2 linked regions of the Elephas maximus indicus genome follow. The protein of the gene in region 1 interacts with the protein of each later gene in a pairwise test. Links are inferred from orthologs where the notes say so. Each region holds a gene or a part of one and is shown on either strand. Other genes may lie near its edges.

The links.
Region 2: the proteins of keratin, type I cytoskeletal 15 (region 1) and SMARCD1 interact in binary tests that used the Homo sapiens proteins (3 or more experiments, as listed by UniProt). The two-hybrid records come from large-scale screens. The link is inferred for Elephas maximus indicus from reciprocal best matches to the Homo sapiens genes KRT15 and SMARCD1.

The regions. Positions count from the first base shown.
Region 1 is NC_064837.1:48,603,657-48,613,626, reverse strand, and holds the start of keratin, type I cytoskeletal 15, read left to right. Parts: upstream 1-6,081; 5' UTR 6,082-6,127; coding exon 6,128-6,472; coding exon of another isoform or gene 6,473-6,682; intron 6,683-8,776; coding exon of another isoform or gene 8,777-8,859; intron 8,860-9,075; coding exon of another isoform or gene 9,076-9,232; intron 9,233-9,519; coding exon of another isoform or gene 9,520-9,681; intron 9,682-9,797; coding exon of another isoform or gene 9,798-9,923; intron 9,924-9,970.
Region 2 is NC_064822.1:105,497,739-105,507,660, reverse strand, and holds the start of SMARCD1 (SWI/SNF-related matrix-associated actin-dependent regulator of chromatin subfamily D member 1), read right to left. Parts: upstream 4,492-9,922; 5' UTR 4,265-4,491; coding exon 4,088-4,264; intron 3,445-4,087; coding exon 3,257-3,444; intron 2,979-3,256; coding exon 2,936-2,978; intron 2,842-2,935; coding exon 2,719-2,841; intron 2,248-2,718; coding exon 2,125-2,247; intron 1,075-2,124; coding exon 958-1,074; intron 1-957. Other genes in the region: ASIC1 (acid-sensing ion channel 1), read right to left, coding at 7,275-7,379, 7,543-7,647, 7,731-7,810, 8,650-8,741, 9,171-9,324, 9,748-9,804. UniProt on the Homo sapiens protein: Involved in transcriptional activation and repression of select genes by chromatin remodeling (alteration of DNA-nucleosome topology).

The DNA.
Region 1 (9,970 bases):
TTCTTCGAGTTGTGTAATGATGCTTACCCGCCTATTCCGAGTTGTTCCTTTCCCATTACTGCCTCCTAAAATTCCTATCTAATCTTTCGAGTTGCTGTTGTCAATTTGATCCCATATAGATAGTTCTTAAAGGAGCACGATGCTCAAGGCAGATATTCTTTACCAATTAAGCTAAACTATTTTTTGGTTCGCTGTGAGTCAGAATTGACTTGACAGCAGCCCGTTTGGTTTTTTTTTTTTTTTTTTACTGTTTGGTTTTAGGAAGACTTCAGGGGATATTTTTGGTTTAAGGTTTAAAGATGATCTCAGGGCAAGTTTCAGGTGTTCATGCAGCATCCATAGCTCCAGGAAGTCTGGGTTCCATGAGAATTTGAAATCCTGTTCTGCGTTTTCCCCTTTTTAATTAAGATCCTTCTACAGAATCTTTGATCAAAGTATTCAGTAATGCTAGCCAGGCACCACCCAGTTCTTCTGGTCTCATGGCAAAGGAGGAAGTTGTTCATGGAAGCAACTAGCCATGCATTCCATTTCCTCCTCCTATTCCTGAGTCTCCTTCCTCTGTTGCTCCAGTTAAATAGAGACCTTGTACCTTGGATCCATAGAGTTTTTATAGGCTGATTTTTTGGAAATAGGTCGCCAGGCCTTTCTCCTGAGACGCCTCTGTGTGTATTCTAACCTCTGACATTTTGGTTAGCAGCTGAGTGCCTCATCTATTTGTATCACCTAGGGACTCCTCCCCTTGACTTTTCCCATTCCCATTGCCGTTGATTCCGACTCACAGCGACCCTATAGGACAGAGTAGAACTGTTGATAAGGTTTCCTAGGCTGTAATCTTTACAGAAGCAGACTGCCACATCTTCCACCTGTAGGGTGGGTGGTGGGTTTGAACCACCGACCTTTCAGTTAGGAGCCAAGCACATAACCACTGCGCCATGAGGGCTCCTTTCCCCTTGACTACTATCCTTCAATCAGTTTCACTTCAAAGGAAGTATCTATTGTCCTTCTGATGTGTCTCCTTCCTTATCTGTATGCTTTCATACATATTTGTGTCTACCTGTAAAAATACATAGTCTTTTAAGTATAGGTCTAAGCATTAATTGCTCTCTTACTGCTTTTATTTTATCTAAGAACTTGTTCTTGAGAGTTTTCAATGTCAATATACAGAGGCATAACTGATTTTAATTTCTGCTTCTAGTCTTCCATAGTATGGGTGCTACACAGTTTATTTAACCACCCGCTTACTAGTGGTGGAAACCCTGGTGGCATAGCGGTTAAGACTTTGGCTGCTAACCAAAAGGTCAGCAGTTTGAATCCACTAGGCGCTTCCTGGAAACCCTATGGGCAGTTTTACTCCTTCTTATAGGGTTGCCATGAGTCGGAATCAACTCGACAGCAGTGGGTTTGGGTTTTACTAGTGATTGTTTCCGTCTTTCTGCTAATACAAACAGTGCTTCGAAGAGCATCCTTTCCACGGCCCTCTGACTATATGAACAAGGGTTGCTATAGGATAAATACGGAAGAGTAGGAGTGTCGACTCATCAGGTTTATGGATTTTTTACAGAAGACATTTCCAAGTCGTCCTGCAAAGTGGCTGTTACAATTCTCCTTCCACCAATGTGTTTGAGGGAATTCATTTGCCCAGTGCTTCCCCAAGACTTGACTTTATTAAACTTTGTAATTTTGTCAGTCTAATGGGGAAAATAAACCTCCGCTAGACTAGAAGCAAAGCCTTGGTGGCACAGTGGTTAAGAGCTCAGGCTGCTAACCAAAAGGTCTAGAGTTCGAATCCACCAGCCACTCCTTGGAAACCCTATTGGGCAGTTCTATTGTGTTCTATAGGGTTGCCATGAGTTGGAATTGACTGGGCAGCAATGGGTTTGATTTTGGCGGGGGGGCGGTGGTTTAGACTAGAAGCAGGGGAGCAGATGCAGCAATTAAATTGAATGAGTAATGTCTACATATATTGACATCGAAAACCCTCAAGAGCAAATCTCCTGGGCTGGGGAGAGATAGTCACCGGCTGCCCGTCTTTGGGTAGGGCCTCTGGGAGGGGGGCCTGGTGCTGTTTCTTCAAGTTTCTGCCAGCTGTCTTTGCGGCCCTGTCTTCCACTTCTCCTTTCAAGGTAACTAGTGCTTCCAATTCCTGAGCATCTCTGGGTTTTGTGTGGAGAATCTGCCTCCTTCTCTTTGGCTTTCCGGCCTACTCTCCTCTGCCCCTCTTCCTAGACCTCCAATTCTAGCTTCAGCTTCTTATGGCCTGCTGTGTTACTTCCTGTTAGTACTACAATTTTAAAATTGTTGTTGACATGCCTCATCTTCTGTGGACTCCTCTTTTCTTCTCTTTAAATATTTCTTAACTGTTATTCTAGCAGGGTTTCAGGAAGGAGCAGAAATTCATGGAGTTATTCGTTCTACCACATTTAATCAACACTGATTTATATCCATATGTCTCTTTCCCCTAGCAGACTGCTAGCCTCTTACAGGCAGGAAAAGGTTATATTTGCCTGTGTCCCAGCAACTATGAGGAGGGGCTAGATACTTGCTGGGTGAATGGAGGAGTGGGTTAGAAAGTGGCTTGGGCGCCTTCTGTTGGTGGTCTGTAGGTAAAGGGATGGCCCCGAGGTAAGGGGATGGTTCCTGGGTAAGGGGTCATTAATTTACAATTTACAGGTTCATGAAGGATTCCACAATTCCACAATATTACTTGTCTCTCCTCCATCTTACAAATGATGCTCTGTTCAAACACATGAATTTGTCTTCTCTGATAGGCTGAACTTTGAGGAGTCTTGCTTGCATGACCCACTGATTGACCAAATAATTGTGTACTAGAGCACGGAGGACAAGCTAGGGCCTTGACAGGTGGTACTGTGCCTCCCTTAACTTGATGACACTTTCCCCAGGGTAGGTAGAGGAGGGCACCTTGACGCCCATCCTGCAAAAGGAGGAATAGCGTCAGTGGTTAGGACTTTTGGGAGTTAAAGATCTGGGCTTGATAGGTGGTGCACTGCTACCTTGTGTGATCTTGGCCAAGTTATCAACCTTTTTGGGTCTCAGTTTTCTTGACAGTAAAATGGGGATGATAATACTTAGCTCACAGGGTTGGTATAAGGATTAATTGACATAATGTATACAGTGTTTAACACAGCAGCTGGCACAATAGATTCTGGCTATCATCATCATCATCACCCTTATCATCACAGTCATTGTCATCATCGCCATCATTACACCATTCCATTCTACCTTGAGACTGGGACTCTCACCCCCAGCTTCTTTCCAGTGGTCCCAACCAGCATCCCATTTCCTCAGTAAACGGATATCTTTGTGAGTGAGAATCAGCATAAAGCTGGTTCCTGAGAGGCAGAGCTCAAGTATATGCCCACTTTCCAACTTCTCCATTATCTCTGACACCAGCTCTCCTCTTAACCCCCACCCACTCACGGCACTTTCTCTGCTGGGTTCGTTCGTTTGCTGGAACACTTCACAGAGCTCATGGACTGTACTTTTGATGAGGTGGTTTATTAGGGTAGAAGGATACAACTCAAATCAGGCTCAGCTCTTATGTGGCCAGAGGCAGACTCGAAAACCCTGGCGATGCAGTCTGTTTTCTGAATGAAAGCAACAGTTTGGTCCCTCGCTTCCATCTCTGGGGAGGGCAGCTCTAGGGACAGACTGTTCTGAGTTCTTCATGGTATCAGAGAAGTGGCCAAAAGCCCATGGCGGAAGGTGGTAGGCACCTGGCTCCTGGCCCAGTACTGTTTCTGGCCAGAGAGTTAGAGTAGGGGATTCTCCCTGATCCCAGCCCACAGTTCTACCTGGGGCTGACTGCCCTTGGAATTGGCATGATAAGATTTTTGGGGAAGGGGACAAAAGAGTTGTGTACAGTTTTATTTTTGTGTATCTGTTTTAGGGCTGTGATTCACACTCAAGATTCCAGGCCATGGGGCTGAGGGTCAACAGGCTGCATGTAAGACTCTGACACTCCTGGCTGTGGACTGCCAGTAAGTCACTGCACTTCTTGGAGCCTCTGTTTATTCATCTATAAAATGGGGACAAGAACATCTTTGCCACCGGGGTTGCCGTGAGGATCCAGTGAGATCTGAAAAGGCTTTGTCAACTGTACCACCCTATTGTCAACTGTACCACCCTATTGTCAATTGTTCTTATGAATCGGGCCCCGGGGAAGGGCCTGGGGCTCCAAGCTCCTCTGGAGTGAGAGAGCTCAGAACCCCTTAATTATCGGGGTAGAATTGTTGGTCCTATTCTTTGTTTCCTAACAGTGTCCCTTCCCAGAACCTCCTATTCGGCCAGAAAAACAAATCCCAGCTGGGGGTTGGTGTGCATAGCAACTATCTGGCTAATCTCCCCCTCCCCAGAGAAGCAGGCCTCCTCTGGGCCAGATAAGGAGTGACTCACTGTCGGGCCAGCCCTGGTGGCTACAATCTTTGTGAAGGCCCCACCGCACCCTGTTTTCAGGGCCGGCCTGGGGTCAAGCCTTCTTCCACCTTTGGGCTCCCGGGACCTACCTGCCATCTTCCTGCAACAGACTCACTATAAACTAGTGCCCAAAGCTGCCACTTCTTAAGGGTGAGGGTGGCTCCTACTGGGTTGGGGGAGCATGTGGGCATTTCCTGTTCATTTCAGGATAACTTGGTGGCTGGAAGACGGTTTGCTGGGGACTTAGGTTTCAGAGGCTAGGGACAAGTCTTCATTTAGTCACAGGTGGCCCAGGTGAGAATATGCAGAGAGGAGGGCTGAGGTGGGACACCCCTTATTTCACAGGGGGGAAACTGAGGCCTGGAGATGGAAAGTGATTGGCCTATCTTCCTAACACCTTCTCAAAAGAGCACAGGGCCTCTGTTCTGAGAGTGGGTGACTGCTCTGACATAGGACAAGAAGGAACCCTGGGGACAATTCTGAGGAGTGGTGAGGTCACTGGAAATAGGACCGGGGGTTGAGGTTGTTGCAGTCCCCCTAACCAGGGGTGTCCAGCAGGGGGCCTGACCCTCCAAACGGGTTAAAAAATGGGGGTGGAATTACTGGATAAAAGAAGGGCTGGGGCTGTGTGTAGTGCAGAGGGGGTCCTTCTTCTACTCTGTTATCACGACTCTTCACTCTGTGGATGAGTACCTTTGCACACGTTCCCTAGCTCCAGTCATTAATCCCTGCACTAGGATGTGGACTCGCTATACCAGGACTCAGGCTTGTAGCCCTCTCTGAGGTGCTCACAAGCAGGGTAGGGACTCCATCTTATTTTTGTCTTTGGGTGGCACGTGCTAAATACCTCATGGGCAAGTTAGTTGCCTCCCTCAGGTTCAGAGTCTTCCTCATGGGAATGTTAGTGAAGCTCAATAAATGTGTGATAATGAATGCTTGCTCCTGAGGCTGAAGGGTAGATGGCTGTTTGGTTGGGGTGAGAATCCCTGAGTAGGGGTCAGCACCCCGGTGGAAGTCAGGCTTGAGCTGGGGTTTGTGAAGGTCCAGTTTACAGCTGCCTGAACGGCTCCCTGCAGCTGTTCCTGGACTGTGCCTATTGTCACCTGGGGGCATTGTATGGCTGCAGCTGGGTGGGGCTGCTTAGCCTCAGGGAGGCCAGGGAGCCTGTGGCTCAGGGCACCCCCACCCGGAAATTGTGCCTTTGTCAGAGAGAACTGACGGGAGTCAAGGGAGAGAGGGCTCTGAGGCTGTTAGTCCAAGTGGGTGTGAGCTTCTGGCCAGTGTACTCTTAGTGGGGGGGGGGGGGGGGAGGGGCGTGGTGGAGTGTATCACAGGGAAGGGGCTCAGAACATGATGTGGGGGGCTCTGAGTGTGTGGTCGCTGGAAGGTGGTGTGGGAGTATAATCTCAACCCCCTCCCCCCCCCCAAAAAAATCTCAAGGGGCCTGTAATTCTTGTGGGGTGACAAACTCTGGGCTTCTTAATGGGTGAAGGTCAGAATGGGAATTCCGGGGGAGGAGGGAGGGATCCAGAATGTGATGGGTGTGTGCTGGGGTAGGTGGGGTCAGCTCTTGCGGAGGGCAGGGGCCTCTAATCTCTGGGAGGGGTGAGTTGGGGCAGAGCCGCCAGCCACTGGCCAATGGGGAGAGGGCCCATATTTGCACACAGGAGCCTGCGAATTCCTCGGGGCTCAGATGTCCGCCTCTGACACCATTCCCCCTCCCCCTTTCAGCCCGCCGGGGCATAAAAGGCGCCAGGTGAGGGCCTCGCCACTCCTCCTGCCGACCGCAGCTCCTAGGGCCAGCGACTTCTGCATCCTCCGTTTCGCCATGACTTCTTACAGCTATCGCCAGTCGTCCGCCACCTCGTCCTTCGGGGGCCTGGGCGGCGGCTCCGTGCGCTTTAGTGGGGGCGGTGCCTTCCGCGCGCCCAGCATCCACGGGGGCTCGGGCGGCCGCGGCGTGTCGGTGTCGTCCGCCCGCTTCGTGTCCTCGTCCGCCTCCGGGGGCTATGGCGGCGGCTATGCGGGCGCCCTGGCCGTGTCCGACGGGCTGCTGGCGGGCAATGAGAAGTTCACCATGCAGAACCTCAACGACCGCCTGGCTTCCTACCTGGCCAAGGTGCGCGCCCTGGAGGAGGCCAACGGCGAGCTGGAGGTGAAGATCCGCGACTGGTACCAGAAGCAGGGCCCCGGGCCCTCCCGCGACTACAGCCAGTACTACCAGACCATCGATGATCTGCGGGACAAGGTGGGCACTTGTCGGGCCGCGGCAAGTGCACCTGCCGTCGGGGAAACCCAGCCCCGCGGGCCGGGCGAGGCCGGAGCGGGGCGGGAAGGAGCCCGTTAGGGAGTGGGAGTGCCCGCAGGGCGGGGCGGAGAGCTGGGGGCAGGGGAGGGACAGCACGGGAGGAGGGAGGGCAGGGAGTGAGGACCGGGTGGCTGGGAGGGGCGGGGACTTGGGCGGGCGGGGTAGGTGGGTGGGGCCTGTAGAAGGCGGGGGGCGGGGCCGGTGAGGCTGAGGAAAGGGGGTGCTAGGAGTGGGAGGAGATGGGGCGCGCGTGTGGTCTGCTCAGTGGCCAGGCCAGAGGCCGCGGCAGCAACAGGGAGATGCAAGAGTTAGGGCTCCCTCCTCCCCCCTCCCGGGCCTGACGGGCTCCCTGCAGTCCCCGGTGTGAGGTCTCTGTATTCCTTTTCTCTGGCCTGCTGGGTCGGCTTCCATCAGCGTCAGGCCAAAGCCCCTCCTCCGCTGCCCAGGGGGCCATGCTGGGCCTAAGAGGCGCTCGGAGAATGGGAGAGGCCAGCTGTGGCCCCTGGGCAGGGTAAAGAAGGGACTTTGCAGAGGCCGCGGGTCCTTTTCTGTGAAGACCTCTGTTGGGGAGAACCAGGTGCAGCAGGGGCTGTCTGACCTGTGGGGTGGGGAGCCCTGGGCTGGATTCCAGGAGTCAGAGCCACAGGTTCTTAAACCTGTATCTTAAGGGGCGTCAGGGGTGGGCTTGGTCACCGCCTACAGGGAAGAGCTGTGTCCTGAAGAAATGTATCAGGAGCCAGTGGGATATTTAACCACCCCCCTGCTGGATGTCTGAACAGGCAGTTCCCAGCAACATTTCCCATGGCCCAGCAGGCACCGGGCCCGGGGCTGGGTGCCTGGGATAAGAACAGACCCAGGGGAAAGTGAGGAGAGCCGAGATAGAAACAGCCAACTAGAAGAGTGCTTCACACACTTTTAAAACTGTTACCTCCAGTAAGAAAGAAGTTTTACTGTGCACACTCACACATTTATCGTTGCTCTATCACACACACAATGGAGGCAAAAGTCTTGAAACAATTCTCATTCTACAGTGGGTGATGCCCTCCGATATTTTATATTTCTGGCCCTTTTTTTGTTAAAAAAATGATGCAGAAAACAGAACAAAACAAACAAACAGGCAAACAAAAACTGATGCAGACCATCACCCGGTACATTAACTAATGAGTCACGACTGGCTCTTTGGAACCTAAGTATCTAAGAACACTAATCGATGATAGGCTGGATGATGCCAATAGGCCCCCTCAGGTCCGAGAGCACTGTGGTCAAATCTCGCCCTGCCGTTTACTAGTGAGGTGAACTTGGACAAAGTACCCTGAATTTCAGTTTCCTTTTCTTTAAAATAGGAGTATCCACTGACCTGGCAGTGAAGTTCCATAGGCTGGAAGATGAGGTGCAAAGTGCCTGGGATATAATAACCAAAACCAAACCTGTTGCTGTCGAGTTGATTTCAACTCATAGTGACCCTATAGGACAGAGTAGAACTGCCCCACAGAGTTTGCAAGGAGCCCCTGTTGGATTTGAACTGTTAACCTTTTGGTTAGCAGCCATAACACTTAACCATTACACCACTTTGATGCTCAAAAAATGGAATTTTCTTCCCTGAGGGCAGAATGTGGCTTAAGGGGGGAGTGCCAACAAAGAAGTAAGCCCTTGATGCTGCCCTTGCCCCGTTCCCCCCTTGCTTCCCTGCGTTGGGTTTATAGATCACTAGAGGTTGCCTCCCTTAAGGGCATGCAAGTGTCCCTGGGCACAGGTCTCTCCCTAGGCTATCCTTCTGTCCTCCCCTCACCATACACCTCCCCGTTGGCCAGCCCCTGCCTCCCAGGCGGCACTTGCTCTTGATCCAGCTCCTGGGCGTGGAGTCCACAGCCACCCAGAGAGCAGGCCAATGGGCAGCCGATGGGTGCCAGGGGCCCTGGTGTCTAGGGAATGGGGGGGTATATTCATTTACTCCTCTCTTTCCTCTGGGAAGAAAGTGGGTGCGCAGTGTTTATATGCTGAACGGGTGCCAACCTCTTGCTTGCTGCCTTCCAGATTCTTGCTGCCACCATTGAAAACTCCAAGATTGTCCTACAGATCGACAATGCCCGTCTGGCTGCAGATGACTTCCGGACTAAGTGAGTGTCTGCACTGGGGGCATCCGGGAGCCAGGGCAGGGTGAGGGCCAATCCCAGGCCCGTGTGGGGCTCAGCGCAGTGGGGTCTGGACTCTACCTCACCCACCCCAGCTGGCCTGGAGAAACCGCCCCCATGGATTTCTGAACTCTGGGAGGTGGGGTCGTCCTCAGAGGTACAGGGGTAACCTGGTCTGGCTGCACCTGTTTCTTCTGAAAGATTTGAGACGGAGCAGGCCCTGCGTCTGAGCGTGGAAGCCGACATCAACGGCCTGCGCAGGGTGCTGGATGAGCTGACCCTGGCCAGGACCGACCTGGAGATGCAGATCGAAGGCCTGAAGGAGGAGCTGGCCTACTTGAAGAAGAACCATGAGGAAGTGAGTTTTAGGCTGGGCCTTCCCATCCTGCCCCAGCTTCCCAGGGCTGAGGACATTTTTCTACCCTGGATTCCCTGAGCTTGGCTATACTTGCTGCACCCTCGGCATGGCTCCTGGGGTTCCAGCAGGGGAGCGTGGTGACCCAGCTTATTCCACAGTGGTGGCTCCTGGGTCTACACCTGAGAACCAGTCCCATCTGGCCTGGGCTGAGCCAGGGGAGGAGGGTGACCTGGCCCAGGCCCAGTAGGCTCAGGGTCCTGACATGCCCATCTCTTCTGTCTTTCCAGGAAATCAGTGTCCTGAGGGGCCAGGTGGGTGGCCAGGTCAGTGTGGAGGTGGATTCTGCTCCGGGCATCGACCTTGCCAAGATCCTGACCGACATGAGAAACCAATATGAGGTCATGGCCGAGAAGAACCGGAAGGATGCTGAAGCCTGGTTTATCAGCCGGGTATGGAGGGGAAGCAGGTGCCCTTGGGGAGGGGGCAAGGAGAGAGGGCTTGATGCCCCTTGCCCCCGCAGCCAAAGGTCTGTCTGAATGCCTGTTCCTCCCTCCGCTTGTTGTAGACCGAGGAGCTGGACCGGCAGGTCGCTGTCCACACAGAACAACTCCAGATCAGCAAGACGGAGGTGACTGACCTGCGGCCCAAGCTCCAGGGCCTGGAGATTGAGCTACAGTCACAGCTGAGCATGGTATGTGCCCCAGACCCCGTGGGAGCCTCGTGGTGGGGTGGCTGTGC
Region 2 (9,922 bases), on another chromosome or scaffold:
CACTGTGCTCTATTATTGGAGCCCTGGTGGTGCAGTGGTTAAGGAGCTCAGCTGCTAACTGAAAGGTCAGCAGTTCAAATCCACCAGTTGCTCCCTGGAAACTCTATAGGGCAGGTCTACTCTGTCCTATAAGGTCGTCATGAGTTTGGAATCAACTTGACAGTAACTCGGTTGCCATGGTTTTAGTTTATGCTCTACTACTATAAAATTAAGGTAAATATATTTACATAATGCTATTGAGTCCATCACTTACTTCCCTTATTAAATGGTAAAGACCTTCCCATGTCTCTTATTAGTTGAGATTAAGGGGCTATGGCTATACTGGGAAAGAAGGGCGCTGGTTAAGTTTACTTGAAGTGCTGCACTGTCTCATTCTGGTTCTGGTTCTGTCACTAGCATGCTCTTCTGCAACATGAATACTAACATGGTCTTCAGAACATTATGCAATTATGCACAATAAAAGATTTTTGGAGATTATTTGGAATCTAAATGGAGCAAGGACCAATAGGAAGTGCAAGATCTATAAACGTAACCTCGACAAATACTAGTACACTATTACACGATCCCTTTAACTATAGCAATTGCTACCAGGAAAAAGTAGGAATGGTGCGTGGATAAGTCTCACCATTATTAACGAGCAAGACACAGAGATGGCCTGGAATGTACAAGAAGCCACCATTAGAACTTCTCTTGAAAGTGGGGGCAGAAAATGACCTCTCTGTGCAACCAAAATAGTAACATTAAAAAAGTGTTACAAGTTAGATTGCAAGTGCTCTTGGGCCCAGCACCTGAACTAAACACAGCTAGTGCCACCTGGAGGTCAATGTGCAAACTACAACGGTGGTACTGTACACCTGGGGAAACCCTTTAATTTACACCTCCCCAAGTAAAATCTGACGCCCAAGTCCACCATCCTCCAGTCACAGAGTTAAAGCCTAGAAGGCAGAAACTACTCACTTCTACCAGATGGTTGTCTGGCCCATACAGGTCTTTGTCCAGTTCAATCACGAGGGATTTAAAAAAGGAAGAGAACTTTCTCTTTTGTTTGGTGGCATCATATTTGGACAAGGCTGACTAGAGGAGAGGAGAGGAGAGCTCATGTTAGAATAGATCAGAAGAAACTTCCCAAGACAAAGTTCCATAGAAAAGGAACCCACAACAGCAATGGCAAAACATTCAGAAATATCTTCTAAATAGCTCTTAAACCAGTCACGGTAGCAATGGAACCCTGGAGAAGCAGCCTGTAATATGCACTGGGTCACTGACTTACCCACCTCATTTCCCCACGGGAAATGAGGCTAGTTAAGCCAAATCATTGCATATAACAACAAAGCAAGTCTGAACAAAGGAAAGCCTGACTCTAGAGGGGCAATTAATCACAGGCAATAAGCACCCAGAACAAAAAACAGCTTTATTTGGATGGAATGACAACATCAGCAGATGGACTGGACTCATATAGAGAAGAAGAAGCCTCTGATACCAAGCCCTGGTTCTCCTACAAACATGCATTCAAATAAGCTTGCCTGTGAAAATCTAAAAATAGAGAGCTACAAAGTATAAGGGAATGAGAGAAAGGTGAGCTTCCCCAAGGAGCCGCTAGAGTGGGAAGTTTGGGGGCTACCACCTGTCAGCTGATGCTCCTTATGAAATGACAAGAGCCTGCCAGAGAAATCTATCTCACTTTAACAGCGAGGTGTCTCCAATAAAAGCTGGGAAAAAGGGAGATGCCTCAATAGGAATCAAGGACCTCAACGACTCAAGAGAGGAAATCATGGCTTCAAATGCCAACTGCAGACTCACTTGATTAAAAATAAATTAAAAAAAAACTAAAGTATTCTGCAGATACTGATAAATCCAATGGCCAGCAGCACCAGGAAGAACGTAAACAACAAATCAGATCCTAGGACAATATGGTTCTCGATATGCTACCACAGTGAGGGCCAAAGCTGTGGGAGCCAGACACAAAGAACCATTGTCTTCCAGTGCAGGGAACAGAGTTCCCCTCTCCCTGCTGCTCCCAACAGGAATTGTAAGCACCGGTCAGGCTTCCTGCTGACCAGACAACACTGCTTGTTCCCCACAGCTCCCACCCTAGACACCGACCACCATTGACCTTGAACTCACATCCTCCAGGAGCCGTCCTTCTACCCGAAGCTCCCAGGAAGCCACCGTCCCTTCCCCATCCTCGGCATCTGACTTAGCCGGATTGAAAGTGTTAGAAATGAAAATTCGCAGCTTCCGTTTTTGCTGAGGAAGGCAGAAACAGGATTGATGGCGGGGCTTCAGTGGTCTGATGCTGAAGGCTAGGGTCTCCCCAAACCCCAAAATTACTCCTAACATCTGGCTTACTGTCTATCCAGTCCCTGGGGTGGGTGAATGGAGAGTCCACCGAGAAGGGGAGTACAGGCCACTGATCTGAGCGTTGAGTGCATACACTGGGATAAAGTCATGCAGGGTGCCAGATCCCAAAGGCAGCAAAGCAGTTGTAACAAAAACATGGACAGGATGTATTTCTGGTGCTAGGGACATGAAAAGTTCCTCCCCCTCGCTGTTCTGTTCTTATGCTCCTAATGTAATTCTCAGTTTGTAGGCGGAAGGGAGAGATGCAATTTAAATGCCAAGGAGAGCTGTGCTGCGCCTTTAATTTCTCATGCTAAGCCTGCTGAAGGTTCCCGAGTCCTTTCCTTCAGCTCTCTGCCTAGCGCTCTCCTGCATTACCTTGATGGGACGTTTCAAGGCCTCCTGGATATCTAGCCGTTTCCTCATGATAGTCTGATCCAGCTTCCTTTCAAAAGCCAAGAGATCCATATAGGCCTGAGATTCTGGTACCAGTTCACGAATCTTAGGAACAGAAAGATATAATTGGCATCTAGAGCTGACCATCTCTATTCTCAAACTCACTACACTCTCAGGGAGATCTACAGCCTGGACTCACCCTTTGAGGTAGAATTTTGTCAGCCATCTTCTTTTTCTTTGCACTGTATGGAATAAATACTGTTATGAGGTTGGGATGGCACTAGTCAGAACATGAAAACAAGCTGTCAGCATCTCCATTTATATAAAGTGGAGGGGCTGCAAAGCTTCTCTCAAGTCAAAGAACCCCCTTGCCTCCAAGCAGCATGAGGCATTCTCAGAATGAGTTCCCCAGCACGCACCAGGCTGCTGACACAGCACCACCACTTCTTGGTTCACAGTACTCCCACCTGTGTCCTCACAGACCTCTTCCCTCCCTCCCTCTGCCCCAGGGTCATCTTACTTGTGGTTTCGATTTTGGACTGCCTGTTGCTGGACCTGCTGGATCTGCTGAGGCGCAGGTCTCTTGCGGGACTGATCCATCCCTGACTGGGCCAGGCCAGGTCGGACTGAAGGGTTCCCCCCATAGCCAGGAGGTCCCATGGAAGGTCCCTGAGGTGTCATTCGGCTGCCTGGCAGCATACCTGGTCTCTATGGAGGGGAGAAGACCCAGAGATGTCACGGCCTTCCTTGCTAACTTCATCCGGAAAGGGAAAGTTCGGCGTGCCTGAGTTCTTTGAACAAAACAGGACTGGGGTGTGGGGTGGAGGAAAATGAGGCGAGAGCCCTCTGACTCTTTGAAATATGGGCAACTTAGGTTTCCTCCACTCCAATCATGGTTCCACAGAATACAGCCAACTTATACTAAAATTCTCCCCAATCTATTTTGGATCTGACAGATCAAACATCTCTAGTCCCACACTGACTCTGCCAGCTATTATTTCCGTAAACGCTGACCCCAATTTACCAGCTCTACCTTCTGTCTTCCTCTGGGCACTGGAGCTGCTCCAGCCTCTCTGCACTCCAGACCTCAAATGCCCACCCCTAGTGGCCCCACTTCATCCACGCTGATCCTATAACCTTACTTCCTACGGAAACAATGCCCCTAGCAGCAGGTGGGGATGCTAACTGCTCCCCCTACTTTCCTCCCAACTGCCTTCCCCACCCCCATCCCCACCCCGGGCCTGAATCTTTCCAGGAGAGTCCCTCCTACTTCTCCCCGCACCCTTGTCACTCCCAGGCCCCCGCTCGGCCCCGCCCCCGGCCCGCGCGCCCCTCCTCCTGCCCCACTCACCGGATAGGCCGCTCCGGGCATCGGGGAGCGGTACAGCCCTTGACCCGGCGCCGGGCCCATTCGCACTGGGGGCCCCGGAGTCCCACCCGGGCCCAGGGTGGCCGCCGCGCCCGCCCCTCCTGAGGCTCCGGCGCCGCCGCTCGGGGCCACCGACTGGAAACCCGCCCGGGCCGCCATCTTCTCTGGAGCCGCCGCAGCAGCTGCACAAAGAACCGGAACCGGAACTCCCCCCGCCCCTTGCGCGCCCCCCGAGCGCCCGCCTGTCAGCCCGGCCAGCCGGCCGGCTCGGGAGGCTTAGGGCAGCAAGACTGTGGGCTAGAGTGGGGGGGACCAGCGGAAAAGGCTGCGCTGACCACTCCCTCCCGCCTTCATGGTCCAGGGTCGAAAACCATAGAGACGAACTCTAGGCTAGAGAGGCCCTGAGAGAGGGCGCCCCCAGGCCGACCGGAGGAAGAGAAAGACCTGGAGAGGGCACTCACAGACCCTGCCCTAAGCCTCTGAAGAGGGTGGCGGAGTAAATGCTTCATTTTGGCGCAGTACTTTTAACTTTCCAAAGCGCTTTGATTATCTTCCGTTTCATTCCCTTACCGCTATAACTCTGGGGGGCTGAGGAGAGGAACGCACTGTTTATTCCATTTTGCAAACGGGAAAATTGAGCTCAAAGAGGGTAAATGACTTGGCAAAGGTCAACCAGCAAGTTACAGCAGAGTCATTCCTAGGATCCAGATCTCTTGGCTCCTAGCCCGTAGTTCATTCCACGGATAAAAAATAAAGTGCCTTAATAACCACCTCACACTGGAACTTCAGCCCAACTTTGTCCCTGACCTTTAACCTAACTCGTTCCAGATTTAACATTCCAGTGTATCTTGAATTTTGATCCAGCTCTTCAAGGAATCCTTTGTGGTGGAGCTTCTCTTTGAGGTCTTTGTTGCTTTTGACCCCTCCCTCTCTCCCTGCCCAGTATTGTAGTTCAAACTAGTTCAAACCATTCCCTCGTGATGGTCAGCCTGCCCCATCCCAAGAGCATCAGGACCTCCCAATCAAACCCTCTCCTTACTCTTCATTCTGATTGGCCCCAAGCTAAGGTCCAGTGCTAAGCACTTCATGGGAAGACCTAACTACCTTTCAAATAAGTGAAGAACAACACTGAAGAGGAGATGGTTGAAACCCAGTTTATTAGACCAGACGCATGCGTCACGCAGAGTCCCGCCTGCTGTTCCCCCATCCACTGCACACTTCTTGGCCTTGCTACTGTTTCCCTTTGGGGAGGTCTGGTCTCTAAGCAACTCCTACAAACAAAGAGTTCCCAAAGATCCGACAGCCTTACTCACCAACTCCAGGCCAATGCACAGGTGACCTGCCCACAGATCCTGTCCTGGGGTTGGAGACCCAGAGACAGTTGAGCAGAAAACACCTAGGAAGGGATTGGGACTCTGGCCTGGGAGGAATGCCTGGGACAGGGGGTGGGGGGTGAGGGAGGCAGGCCCTCTCCATCACTCATCTCTCATTAAGGAGAGAGGAACAGAACAGCAAAGCTTTCAACTCCCCCTCTAGGCCTGTCTCTTTCCTCCTACTACCAAAGCCCACCTCGCCAGAAAATATGAGTGGTAGGCTTGGGTATGAAGAGAGAGAAAGGGGTTGGGCACCCAGAAGGAGGAAAAGGCCACTGACTGGGGACCTTCCTTTCTGCCTGTTTACACCCTGCTGCCCAGTTGCGAGAGTTACCAATCCCCAGCTCCCTTTTGTATCTGAAAAAAGGCTGCCAGCTTGGGAAAAGTTCTTCTTGGCTTAATTTCCAGAGCAGTCTTCATCTCCTGGGTAAGGACTATCTCTGTTACAACCCCTTCCCTGGGGAGGCTGCAGTCAGCCAGGCAAAGGGCATTGGGGTGGATGGAGCAGGGGACGGGAATGTTAAGGCTGCAGGGAGGGCAGAGGGTGCCCAGAATAGGGGGAGAGGGTGAGGCCAGAAAGAGGCAGAGCTTGTGATTCACAGCTTCCTTTATGTCGCCACCAAGACAGTGCGAAGGTTACAATGCGCGTGTCGTCTCCTTGTGCTTCTCAGAGGGATGTGTGTACACAGTACAGACACCAGGGGAGAGAGTCCAACTCTTTATACAGGCGAAGGCATTCAGAGACCAGGGAGGAGGCAGAGACACACAAGGGGGATCTTGGGGCGGGTGGTTCTCAGAGACAAGAGGGGATGGGGTGGAGACAGACAAGGTTGGGGGAAGTATATACAGAGATATAGCAATATAGAGTCTGTATCATATAGAAATAGAAAATGCAGATGAGGTTGTTGAGAGAAGCAAATGGAGTTGGGGAAGCAGACTTGGGGGAGTTCCATAAGAAAATTTATGGATGTGGCCCTCTGCAGGGGCCCCTGGGAGACGGACCAGTGAGGTCAGGCACCAGTGCTCCTCTCCCTGAGCTGGAAGCCAACCAGCGGGGTCTTTTATGGGACAGTGGAGGCTGTCTCTTGGGATTTCTCTCCAGCAGCTACAGCTCTGGGGTGAGGGTGAGCTTGTAGGTATCAGGATGTGGCCTACAGCACCAGGGCCACACCTTGCCCCCATATCTACTTCTTCAGTGAATCCCCCCACCCAGCCCCCTAAAGACTCCACATGGTGTGAGGGGATGGGACTGGGGTCTTAGATCCTGCCCAGAGACTTGGGGTTGGGTAGGTCACTGGGCTGAGAGGGTCGCTTAAGGCTGGGGAAGCTCCCTTCCACTAGCCCTCCCCCTCAAGGTACATTCTCTGGTTTCAGGAAAACTACAGACCCCGGGGGGAATCCCCTCCACCCCCCACTGGGAGAGGACTTTGGTGACTGGTGGCAGCAAATGTAGGTGGACACTCAGATGACAGACAGCCAGACAGACAGAATTCAGGCTGGGAGCTGGGGGAGGCAGCATGGGGCAGAGAGGGGCAGCCTAAGGTCCCTTGCCCCTTTCTCTCTTTTTAGTGTCTCTTAGATTAGTTTTGTTAAAAATTAAAAGAATGGAATAGAGGCAGGGAGAAGACCCTAAGGTCAAGACTCCTTCCTCACCACAGACAAGAAGAAAGGACTGCCTAGGAATGGGGGGCTGCCCTTAGAGTGGGGGGTGAGTCCCCAAGACAGATGGGGCTAGCAGGCCCCGTTGCTCTTCTAGCCCTCCCCATCTAGGCCTTTGGTACAGTGGCCTGCAGGGCTCAGCAGGTAAAGTCTTCAAACGTGCCTCGGGCCGGATGGTGAGGTAGGATGTTGGCAGCGTAAGTCATTCCAGCAGGATGGCCACGGAGGCTCTCGCACGGGTTCTAGGGGAAGGGCACAGGATAGGGACTGGTTATCGGAAGGGCCACAGGGGGCTCTGGGGCGTGGGGGAGGGAAAGGAGAGAAGAGGCCAAGGGCGGGGTGGCTGGTCCTGGGGTGGTGGGGGAGGAAGGCGGTGGGGAGGGCGCCCCTCGCTTGCTCCCTCACGTGTCTCTTGACGTCATCCAGGCTGAGGGCCACGCCCTTATCGGCACTACTCCTTTTGGCTTCCTTCTGACACTTCCCTCGTCGGCACAGCTTGTGCTTAATGACCTGCAATGGGGGTGCAGCGTGGGGGTGGGTGGGCTGGAATCCCGCCCCCGTGGCCCCGGCCCCGGGCCTCCCAGCCGGCTCACCTCATAGGCGTAGTCAAAGAGCTCCAGCACCGTGAGGATGCTGGCGCCGATGAACAGCCCCATCTGGCCCCCAATGTCACCTGCAGGAGCGGCGGGGAGGTCAGTGGGGTCCGGACACTTTGGAGGCCAGCCGGGCTCACTGGGACAGGGGTGGGCAGGTCGTATTCGCAAGGGGATTGGTAGCCTTCGTACAGAAGGAGCGCAAAGCCAGATTCTAGAGGGATTTTTCTTTTCTTCCCATAATGGTTAAGTCCTACGGCTGCTGACCAAAGGGTCGGCAGTTGGAATCCACCAGGCGCTCCTTGGAAACTCTATGGGGCAGTTCTACTCTGTCCTATATACGCTATGGGTCGGAATCGACTCGATGGCACTCTTTTTTTTTTTTTTATGCTTTTCTGCATTTTTCTACTTTTCTAGAACAGGTAATATTTCAGGAAAAACAATTGTTTACAAAATAACCGAACACTCTCAGTGTCTGGGCCAACTTTCAGGGATATGTACGATAGTCCCACATCCACCCCTTGCCCGGCGCTCATGGACATAGGCCTGTCTCTAAAAGAAGCCTTGGAGCCCTGGTGGCACAGTGGTTAAAGCAATGGACTGCTAACTGAAAGGTCGGCAGTTGGAAACTACCAGCCTCCCTGCAGGAGAAAGATGTGGCAGTCTACTTCTGTTGAGATTTACAGCCTTGGAAACCCTATGAGGTCAGTATGAGTTGGAATCGACTTGACAGCAGTGGGTTTTTGGACGAGAAGTGTCAGCCTCCTCTTCTCACCACATACTGAGACAATAGGATTTGGGGAAAGGCCCCTAGGGGTGGGGGAGCCTCCTGTGACAGAGGTAAGCACCCTGCTTTGGGTGGTAGGGGCCAGGCCATGTCCGTAGCACTGGAAGGGAACAGGTGCCATCAGTAGCTCACCCAGGAGCCCTGCAATCTCATAGGCCTTCTTCTGCTCAATGGTCTCATAGTTGAGGACTTCAAAGAAAATGTCCAGCACCAGGATGTTCTCCCTGCAGTGGGGTTGGGGGAGGAGACCTAGGTTCAAGTCATATCTCTGTCCCTTACTAATTGGGTGACCTTAGCAAGTTAACCTCTCAGAATCTAAGTCTCCATATCTATAAAATGAGATGCTAATGGAGCTACCTGCTTTGTGGGGTTGCTGAGGGTTAAAGGATATGTTCTGTACAAAAAGATACTATGCGCACTGGGAAGTGTGAACTGATCACACTTACAGCAGTGAGGATGAAGATAGAAGACCAAGCAGGGAGTGGGGAGAAAGGGGCTTTCCTCCTGCTTATTCTGACTTGATCTTCCCTCTATACCCACCCCAGTCTCTTTGGGCCTTCCCCATGTCATCTCAGCTTCCTCCTGCCTGTCTCCCATCAGACCCCTCATACCCTTCATAGTCCCCAGCTTAAGGTCACAGTCAGAGCCCTTACCCTATGTACTGCTCAGACTTGTTGAATTTTTTGGCCAGGTACTTGGCTGAAGCTTTGCTGGGGATCTTGACCATGGACAGCTCCTTGCCGTAGCGGGTCAGGTTGCAGGGCATTTCGCACACGCAGTACTCCTGGTCCTTTTCCACCAGGAAATCTGCACCCGAGCCAGGTGGGAGGCGCCAGTTGAGTGGTGGTCTTCTCCCAGCACCTTGCCCAAGGGAACCCTAGGCCCCCCGTCTCTTTTCCTGCCCTTCACCTCAGCCGGGTGGCCACCCATTGCTGATCCTCTCCCAGCCTCCCCATGAGTATTTCTTAATTCTAAATCTCATTCCTTCAAGTCCCTGCAGGGTCAACCACCTGAGGTGCTGATGAGTGGGGGTGAGGGCCCCTCCCAGGTGACCCCACTAATTTTTCATAGGGGCCTTCTGTAATGCTGTTCCCTGCCTTGTTAAAGGGGAGGGTGAAGCCTGGTCCAGGAGTTATTTGAAGTCTCTGGGAGCTTGGTCTGAAATATCTGCGTATGTGGCTGGCAGCACCTCCTTTCCTCCCCTAGACTGTCCAGCGCAGGGGCACTTACCCAGAGCAGGATCTGCACACTCCTTATACTGCTCTGGAGTGCAGTATGGGGCATCCCCTACAGGGGAGAAAAGACAGTGTTGCAGGGCGGAGATTAAGGGAGTCTTTTTTTTGTAGTGGTGGTAGTGCCAAAGGCCTAGAATATAGAAGCTTATAGAGGATGAGAGGGTAGAACT